Linked DNA regions of Oryzias latipes. The protein of the gene in region 2 interacts with the protein of the main gene of each other region in a pairwise test. Links are inferred from orthologs where the notes say so. Each region holds a gene or a part of one and is shown on either strand. Other genes may lie near its edges. The genes, in order: morn3 and rsph1.

What was found.
Region 1: the proteins of rsph1 (region 2) and morn3 interact in binary tests that used the Homo sapiens proteins (3 or more experiments, as listed by UniProt). The two-hybrid records come from large-scale screens. The link is inferred for Oryzias latipes from reciprocal best matches to the Homo sapiens genes RSPH1 and MORN3.

What each region holds. Positions count from the first base shown.
Region 1 is NC_019870.2:13,849,388-13,853,055, reverse strand, and holds morn3 (MORN repeat-containing protein 3), read right to left. Parts: upstream 2,193-3,668; 5' UTR 2,066-2,192; intron 1,665-2,065; 5' UTR 1,643-1,664; coding exon 1,498-1,642; intron 1,410-1,497; coding exon 1,252-1,409; intron 1,167-1,251; coding exon 1,007-1,166; intron 926-1,006; coding exon 741-925; intron 660-740; coding exon 588-659; 3' UTR 576-587; downstream 1-575. Other genes in the region: transmembrane protein 120B, read left to right, coding at 2,503-2,565. UniProt on the Homo sapiens protein: Assembles a suppression complex (suppresome) by tethering SIRT1 and MDM2 to regulate composite modifications of p53/TP53.
Region 2 is NC_019877.2:20,918,695-20,923,148, forward strand, and holds the start of rsph1 (radial spoke head 1 homolog), read right to left. Parts: upstream 3,075-4,454; 5' UTR 2,987-3,074; coding exon 2,936-2,986; intron 2,855-2,935; coding exon 2,741-2,854; intron 1,170-2,740; coding exon 1,064-1,169; intron 1-1,063.

The DNA.
Region 1 (3,668 bases), on a different chromosome or scaffold from region 2:
ACAGGATCTACTTCAGAAAAGTCCAGTGTTTTGCTTCCTGTCCTTTGAGCTGTCTCACTAATTGTGCCAAATTTGCAGTATTATTTGAGTCTGCTGATAAGTTTTGGCATTTTTTTTTTCATTAAAAAGAACAGATGAAAACCCTTTATTGCCTTCTTTGCAACATTTTTGCTAAATGCAAAATTGAACAATTATTTTGAGATATTTTATATTTTATTAGTTTAAAAACAGAGCAAGCAGACATTTTAGTTAACAAAATGGGCCTAAACTGAGCTGGATCACCTTATAAAAACAAACTGAGAACTAAAGTTTTGTTGGCATAAGGATTTATCCAAATTTTACTATTGACTGTCATCTTAAAAATAAAGAAGTTCTGGTCAAGTTATATGTTTTTCGTTTAAAATTGTGCATTTAGTGCTTATTGCATGATATCCATGAATTTAGGTGGTAATCCTATTTAAATTTGTGCTCTGTTTACATTTTAAGTTCAACAAAAATGTGATCGCTACTATTTTATTGATCATAGTCGAAAATGTAAGGTATAAAACTGAAAATACAGACACAATGAAACAGCATTCATCAGATATTTAGTCTTTACTAGTGTATATTAGGACTGACTGAGCTTCCTTTAAAACCTGCTCTGGGTCCACCAGATGTAGCTTTAGAGAGAAAATAAAGACAGAAATTAGATTACACGAATGTGGCTGAATATGTCATGCATCCTTTTTTCTATGTTTTACCTTTGGAAATTTACACTTTGATGGTTCTGGGGCTTTGTCCTTTTCATATTCACACAGGGTTCCACATTTTGCTTCGCCATCTATCCAGAAGCCTACGTAAAGCAGGCCTTTTTCAGAATTGTAACACTTGCCGCTGCCATTCCTCTTGCCGTCTTTCCAGGAGCCCTCATACCAGCTTCCATTTGCTAGACCGCAAGTTAGATTCAGTTTTTTTTTTTAACAACAAATAGTCCAAACTGAAGAGAGACGTTTAAAAACATTCTTACCATACAAGAGTTTTCCTTCCCCGTGTTCCTTATCACACATCCACTCTCCCTCATAGATGTCTCTGTTCTCATGGAACATTTTTCCCCGCCCGCTCCGTTGGCCCTCGCTCCACTCCCCTTCATACACTGCCGTGTTATTGTAGAAGTAAATCCCGTAGCCCTGAGAAATGATAAAAAGTGTCAATAAACATGGGGAAAGATGTGCCAAACTGTGTGAGTAAAACAAAAACTGTTGCAATACATACATGCTTCTTTCCATTTTTCCACTCTCCATCGTACTTCCACACATAACCTTTTGATTCAGGGTCTAACACATAGTAAGTGCCATATCCATCGTATTTGCCAAATCTCCATTCACCATTGTAAACGGCGCCAGTGTTCTTCCACATTTGAATTCCAATGCCTTAATAATAAATTAGAGTAGTGGCAACAAGAAGCATTAAAAAAATCCTAAAAGTTTGACTAAAACTAATTAAAATACAGCATCTTACCGTGCTTCCTGTTGTCCTGCCATTCTCCGGTGTATTTATCCCCATTAAGGGAAAACACTGTGTGTCGAAATCCAGATTTTAATGTCATGGACTCTTTCAAAGCCGAAGATGGAGGCTCTGTTTTCGAGGGTTTGATGGAAGACATGGCAACTAAGCGCTTGGCAAAACTGGAAAAAAAAGTAATACGTTGGAGAAGGAAAGCATTAAGTTAGTTCTGTCTTTTAAAAAAAAAAAAAAAAACACACAGACACAAAAGTTTTCTTGAAATTCTGAAAATGAAATACCAAAAATTTGCAATAGCAAGTCCTTAAAGCATGATTGACCTTCAAAGGCAGAAATTCAATGTCTGCAGAGACACTTTTTCTGTGGCATTTTGGTAAGCACATGCTCTAAAATGAGCCAAATTAACAACTAAGCATATTTTGTAAATATTTCTTCAATCTTAGAGGGATTAACAAGAGTCCAATAAACTTCCTGACCTTTTTAGTTATGGAGATTTTTTGTTGTTGTTGTTTTTTTTTTTTTTTTTTTTTTTTTTGGGGGGGGGGGGGGGGGTATGTATACTTACAAAGAAAATGCCAGAATACAGAAAGTGGTGGATCTTCGCCGTGGTCCTGAGAAAAATAAGAAAGTAAGCGGTTAGGTATGGACGTGAGTGCTGACAGCGACAGGGCAGTTGTGTCTGCTGTGTCCTAGCAACAGTAAAACGCCCCGTGATTGGATAAAAACAAATCCAATTTAAACTCGTACATTCACATTATTGTTGAATGTTTCTCTGGGCTATTGGAGCTATTTTACTAAATCCGAATGACTGGTAAATGGGGATGTTGACGAAACAAAACTGAAGCGAGGTTCACCACCGGTTTTGAGTGAACCTTCTTGGGTTTACGCAGGCGCAGTGCAGCACGATTAAAAAAAAGAAGCGTCCGAGTGGGACGGAGTATCCTGTTGGAAGAGGCATTCATTGTGACTGCATGCGTCCTCACCACTGACCATTATTTCATAATGTCCTATTGTAAGTTGCAGGCGGAATGGGACGATATAGACAACGAATATCAGCAGTTACAGGTGAGAGTGGTCTATTCTAACGAGGGATTTGTTTTATGTCGGCTTTTTTAGGCTGCCGCGTGCCGTAACTAAGTAGGTACTGTCGCGACCACGGTAGTTTATGGTTTTTTGCTAGTTAGTTGCCATTCATTCTCAGCTTATCTTTAAACCTGAAGCCACTTTCTCTGCTGTTAGTAGCTAAAAATGTGACTCGAATAGACTTTTGCTGGACGTTTAAATATTTAAACTTTACTTAATTATTTGTGGTAGCTGCTAGCGTTAGCAGCAGCATCATCATGATGTTGCTCGTGCTCTTGTGGCTAGTGTGTCGCAGAAGAGCAGCTACTTTTAAGCTAACCAATCATATCGATTAAACTTGCGGAAACGACATGAAGACGTCTCATGTTTAATTCTTTTAATTATTAATAAAGACAAAAAATGTATTGAATATTTCTTTAATCTGCTAAGCTAGTTCAGTTTGGCTAAAACAATTTCTAACTCTCAATGACTTTTTGGACGGTTGTGTTTACTATGAATTCTGATAGCATGGACTGCGTTCAAATTAAAACTGTCCCCCTAATTATCAAGGAAAATAATGTAGAGCTGCTCCTCAGGGAAAGGGGAGTAACGATGGTTTCATTAGAACACACAGACACATTGCAGTTGCACTCAGCTGCTTTCAGGTTATAGGGAAATAATGAAAGAAACCAAAGTAGGTCTGTCATTTTTGGTTTATTAGTCATTTCAAATGTGTACCTGCTTTTATTTTGAAGGTTGTGCTAACACAATTTGTCACCATCTTCTCTTCACTTTTCTAATCATTTCTTCTATTTCTTCCCTGGTTAAAATGTGTCCTGCAGATGCATTTGTAAATTTTATTTTATCAAATTAACTTTTTTCTTTCATGCTTTTACATTTAGTTTAAATTTGGCATAAGTAGGTAGGAGAGAGAAATGTAAAAAAATACTTAGGCTGTCACTATCTTCTACTTTTAATATAAGCTAAAGCATACACCTTCTCTTCTTAAATTATATAGATTGTCACTTTGCTTCTGGCCTTGTCTTTCCTCATCGAGGCCACCACTGATCTTGTGAACATCTCTGACCAACCAGTTGTGAAATGCA
Region 2 (4,454 bases):
ATTTAGCACTTTTCTACCTTCATTGAAGGCCTAAAGTGCTATATAGTCACAGTCCCATTCACCCATGCACACACTGATGGTACCAGCCTCAACCACCAGGAGCAATGAGGGGTTCAGTGTCTTGCCCAAGGACACTTCAACACATGGGTGGCGAAGCTGGGATCTTTTGATTGCAGGTCAACCACTCTACCACTGCAACACGGCCGCCCCTGATGTGGCGAAGAAAACGCAGTAACAGTTTTGTGAGTGGACTGGTTCTGGCCTCAGCATTTCCTCTTTTTCTCACATTCTATGAAAAACTTGACTATTTCCACACCAAACCATCAAAGGTGCCCTCCACAACTGTTTGTTTGATCCCTTGGTGAATTGTTGAGTCTGAACTCCATTGATGATGGTTTTTATTGTCCACTTGCATTTGATAATTTCTTAATCAGTCCAGAGCAGTTTAATCTAACACTGATGAGATCTGACTAAGTTCAATTTCACAGATCAAGAGCGGTTAACCTTAACACCATATTACTTTTAACTGGCTCTCACCTAATACTGTAAACTCTTTCATTCAGGCTTTTATTTTTATTCTTTCCCTTGCATTTTGTGTTGACTTTATGTCCTGTCAGTCCTTTCGTATGTTCATTTTTTAAATTCCACAGATATTTCCTGTCATTTTCCACCTCACTAAGGGGTTTTCTTGTCAAAAGGTTTTTATTTACAGAAGCCAATCAGGTTAGCGGTTTGGCTTAGAGTCGTCTCTGGTGACTCAGCCGCCATAACCCAATCAAAACGCCATCTCCTCCTTGTTTTCTTTTTCTATAAGGCCTTTCCTTATAGCCCCATTTTATGAAGATAAAACTCTGACAAAAGCTCCATCACAGAAGATCCATGCCACCACACCTATGGACTCTGAAGCAGCTTCTTCTCAAAGACAGTGTGAGCATTGAGAAACGACTTTAAGAAAACTTATTGCATTTGATTGATCATTTTTTATGATCAATTGTTTTTTAAAGCTGGATAAACAGATGACCTATTATCATTCTTTAAGTGCTTACATGAAAACAGGTTTTACCTTCATATTTGGAGCCGTCTGGATAGTAGAAGGTGCCCTGTCCATGTTTCAAGTTCTTGAAATATTCTCCCACGTAAACTGCCCCGTTCTTGAAGCGATACGTCCCCTGGTGGATGAAAACAGCCATACGTGGTTACAGTCCCTTAAATCGGGGGTGTCAAACCTAGAACTTTCCATGGAAATTCCTAAAACGTTTCCTTATGGAGAACAAGCAAACAATTCCCAATCCTCAGGGTCGAAGGAAAGTGTTCACCAGTAAGACACAACTCCTGTGTGATGAGCGGTCGGGCGGACTTTCAAAGCGCTAATATGTCAGTGCATTCTGGGATTTGTAGTGCACTAGTGGCACTCGTGGGCCTACTCTACTAGTGATCAGTCCGTCCAAGAATCTATAGGTTATTGTTGCCTACAGTATATGCAGCTGCTATTACCATTGGGTGTAAAATTGATTATAAAAGTGTTAGTATTCCTACAAAATACTTTAAAATTCATATCAATAACATGAATACATTACAGTAACATCCCTGTGCTTTCATACTGCATGTTTAATTAATGAGAATCATTTCTAAAGAAATGTCAAAAATGTTGATGTTAAAAGTACATTGAAGTGTCTTTTTTGAAGGTCAGGTTGAAGCGCATCCTGTTCTGGTTTTTAGACATTTTAACAGAAGTTGTATTCAGTAGTAAACCTGCTGTCGGCTACTTTTCTATATATTCAGCTGGTCTTTTTAAGAAAACAGCTGCTATCTTGTGATTCTGTGTTTATAAGTTGCTTTTAAAAAAACAAACACACTAACTAATAGTCAATCCCCTTCATAGATTTAGGGTTTTTCTCCTTAAAAATCTAAACAAAACTTTTCAAAATAGTAATACATGTTTCATAAGTTACTGAATTTGAGAACAGATATATCTACTAACACTTTTTTCTCAGTTTGATTTCTTGATAAAAGATATTCCACTTTATAGACTCTGTGGTTCTAAAAAAAAACAATACATCTTTCTTTATTTTTCATCCTTAAATGTCTGCATCTATTTCTTTACTGAATGAATCCGTCGTATTTGGCTTATTCTGTACCTGAATGCAGTCAGACAGCTCTGAATAAGACATGTTTTAACTCTTCGTGCCTGATATTATTTCTAATGATATAAAGATATTAAGGTGATGTTAAAGTGGGTGGAGTCCTAGATTTATTGGTATGTTGTGAATTGAAGGGGTTATGATTTCACGTTGCGTACTATGAAACTAAAGTGGAGCAGCCAAAATGACTAGTTTATTCTACCAAATAGAAAATAAACCAATAGTTACTACAACTCTGTTTGATGGCAGACAGTACATACTTTTATTATGGTGTACAGTTTGACTTTTTAAGACAGGAGTCAATAGAAAAGGGGTTTTCCTCTGAAACCATCCTCTAGTGGTAATTAGAAGAACTGCAACATTTATTTATTCATTGTTGTTGTTCTTTATTTATTTACTTTTGCTTTACTTTAAATTTGAAAAGAAATGTGGAGCTTAGCTTGTCAAAATCACCAAGACGGTTTCTTCTCAAAGACATCCCACCCCCCACCCCCCAGCCATTTAATGTATTTGGAATCCATTCTGACCCAAATCATTTTTTTTTTTTAAACACTTGAAACTAGTCATAAGAAATCAGAAAGCATAGGTGGGCCCCCCACCTGCCCGTGCCTCTCTCCGTGCTCGTAGCGGCCCTGGTAGATGTCTCCGTTGGGCAGGACGCTCCTGCCCACGCCGTGCCTCTGTCCCGCATCGTTCCTGTCGCCCTCATAATTCTGTCCTCAAAGAAACAGCAAAAACGGGAAAGCTGTCAGCCGGAAGTCGAACCTCTCGGTTCCGTGTGGTCTTCCTCTTACCGCGAGCTTACTGAGTTCTTCGTTCAGATCTTCGGAACCAGAGAACGACATATTTTACACCTTTTAACTTTATTCTAACATTAACAGACTGCCGTTGCGCGTGCGTATGTCGCTTGTCCGTTGCCGTGACGACAACCCTGGCGCGCGCTTCCGGGGATGCCAGGTTTGGCAGATTTCCGCACAGATGAGGTCTGTTTTTGATCTTGTGGGGTATTTTTCCTCAAATGTACCAGAAAAAATAGGAAAAAGACAATGAAGGCGTTTTTTATTTTAATAATCATTCTTGTAGCTATCTTTTTATTTTTTTATGACTATGATGATGACTAATTACTCCTCATAGACCATGTTGATTTATATTTTAACGGTGTTTGTCGTCTAAGTGGATTAAGTAGATAGACAGTAATTATGAATTAATTTATGTTGATTGATTTAACTCTCCTTCAAATTACAGGAACATTTGATGGATCCAGTCACAAAGATTCACTTCTGATCCAAATCAATAACTTTGCTGAAATGTCTGAGTTATTGCTCTTCAGTCTTACACCTTGCAAGCAGAGGCGGTCCTGGCTAGTTTAACGACCTCTACTCTTCTTCTGTTTCTAAACTGGGTGCCTGATGTTTCCTTTTAACCTTTTGTCCATTTACCACAATCTTGAATAGACTTGTCCGCCTGTCAAACACCCAGAGTCAAGATGAGTGAGATGATGGAAACAAATTCATTTTGAAGCAGACTTCTATCTTCCAGTAAGTAATCCCAATGCGTGCACATTACAAAATACTGTCATTACAGCAACAAGTTGACACAATAGTAGGGGCGCCCCAGTGCAAGTTGTGGAGATGAGTGGTGATTGACTAGAAAAATAGTGGGAGAGGGGGTTGAGGTTTTCTTTTGGTAAATGGCGTATACTTACATAATGTGTTTCTACCTTCCTTGAAAGGCCCAAAGCGCTTTACAGTCACAGACCCATTCACCCAGTCACACACACAGGTAGAGGCTCCACTACCAAACATTGGCGCCAACCTTCCACCAGAGGCAAGGTAGGGTTCAGTGTCTTGATCAAGACACTTCAATACATGGGTGGGCAAGGTGGGAATTGAACCTGCAATCTTACGATCATGGGTCCACCGCCCTACCACTGCACCATGGCCGCCCCCTTTGCAAGATTGAGCCATGGGCGGCCGCCCACATTGCCCACAGGAAAAACTGCCACTGCATTGTGAATGCGCACTTCTGCTTAGTGACCAGCAGAACTCTGGTCCCATTTGAGCAAAGCTCTGCCTCCATTTACCCCCAAAATGTGGAGATTTTATGAGGAACCTTTAAAGATGCTGCTCAGTCATGCGTGTGACACAGACATCTGTAGTGAGGAAAACACATCCTGAAATGGATTTTACGTTAATATCCTTCATCTCAACAGTTTTAGAAAATTCCCAGAAACACTTTGTTTTGGCTCAGCGGCTTTCAGACAACAGACTTTATGTTGTTTATAATGGGGAAAAAATGGAAAAAAGCTAAACA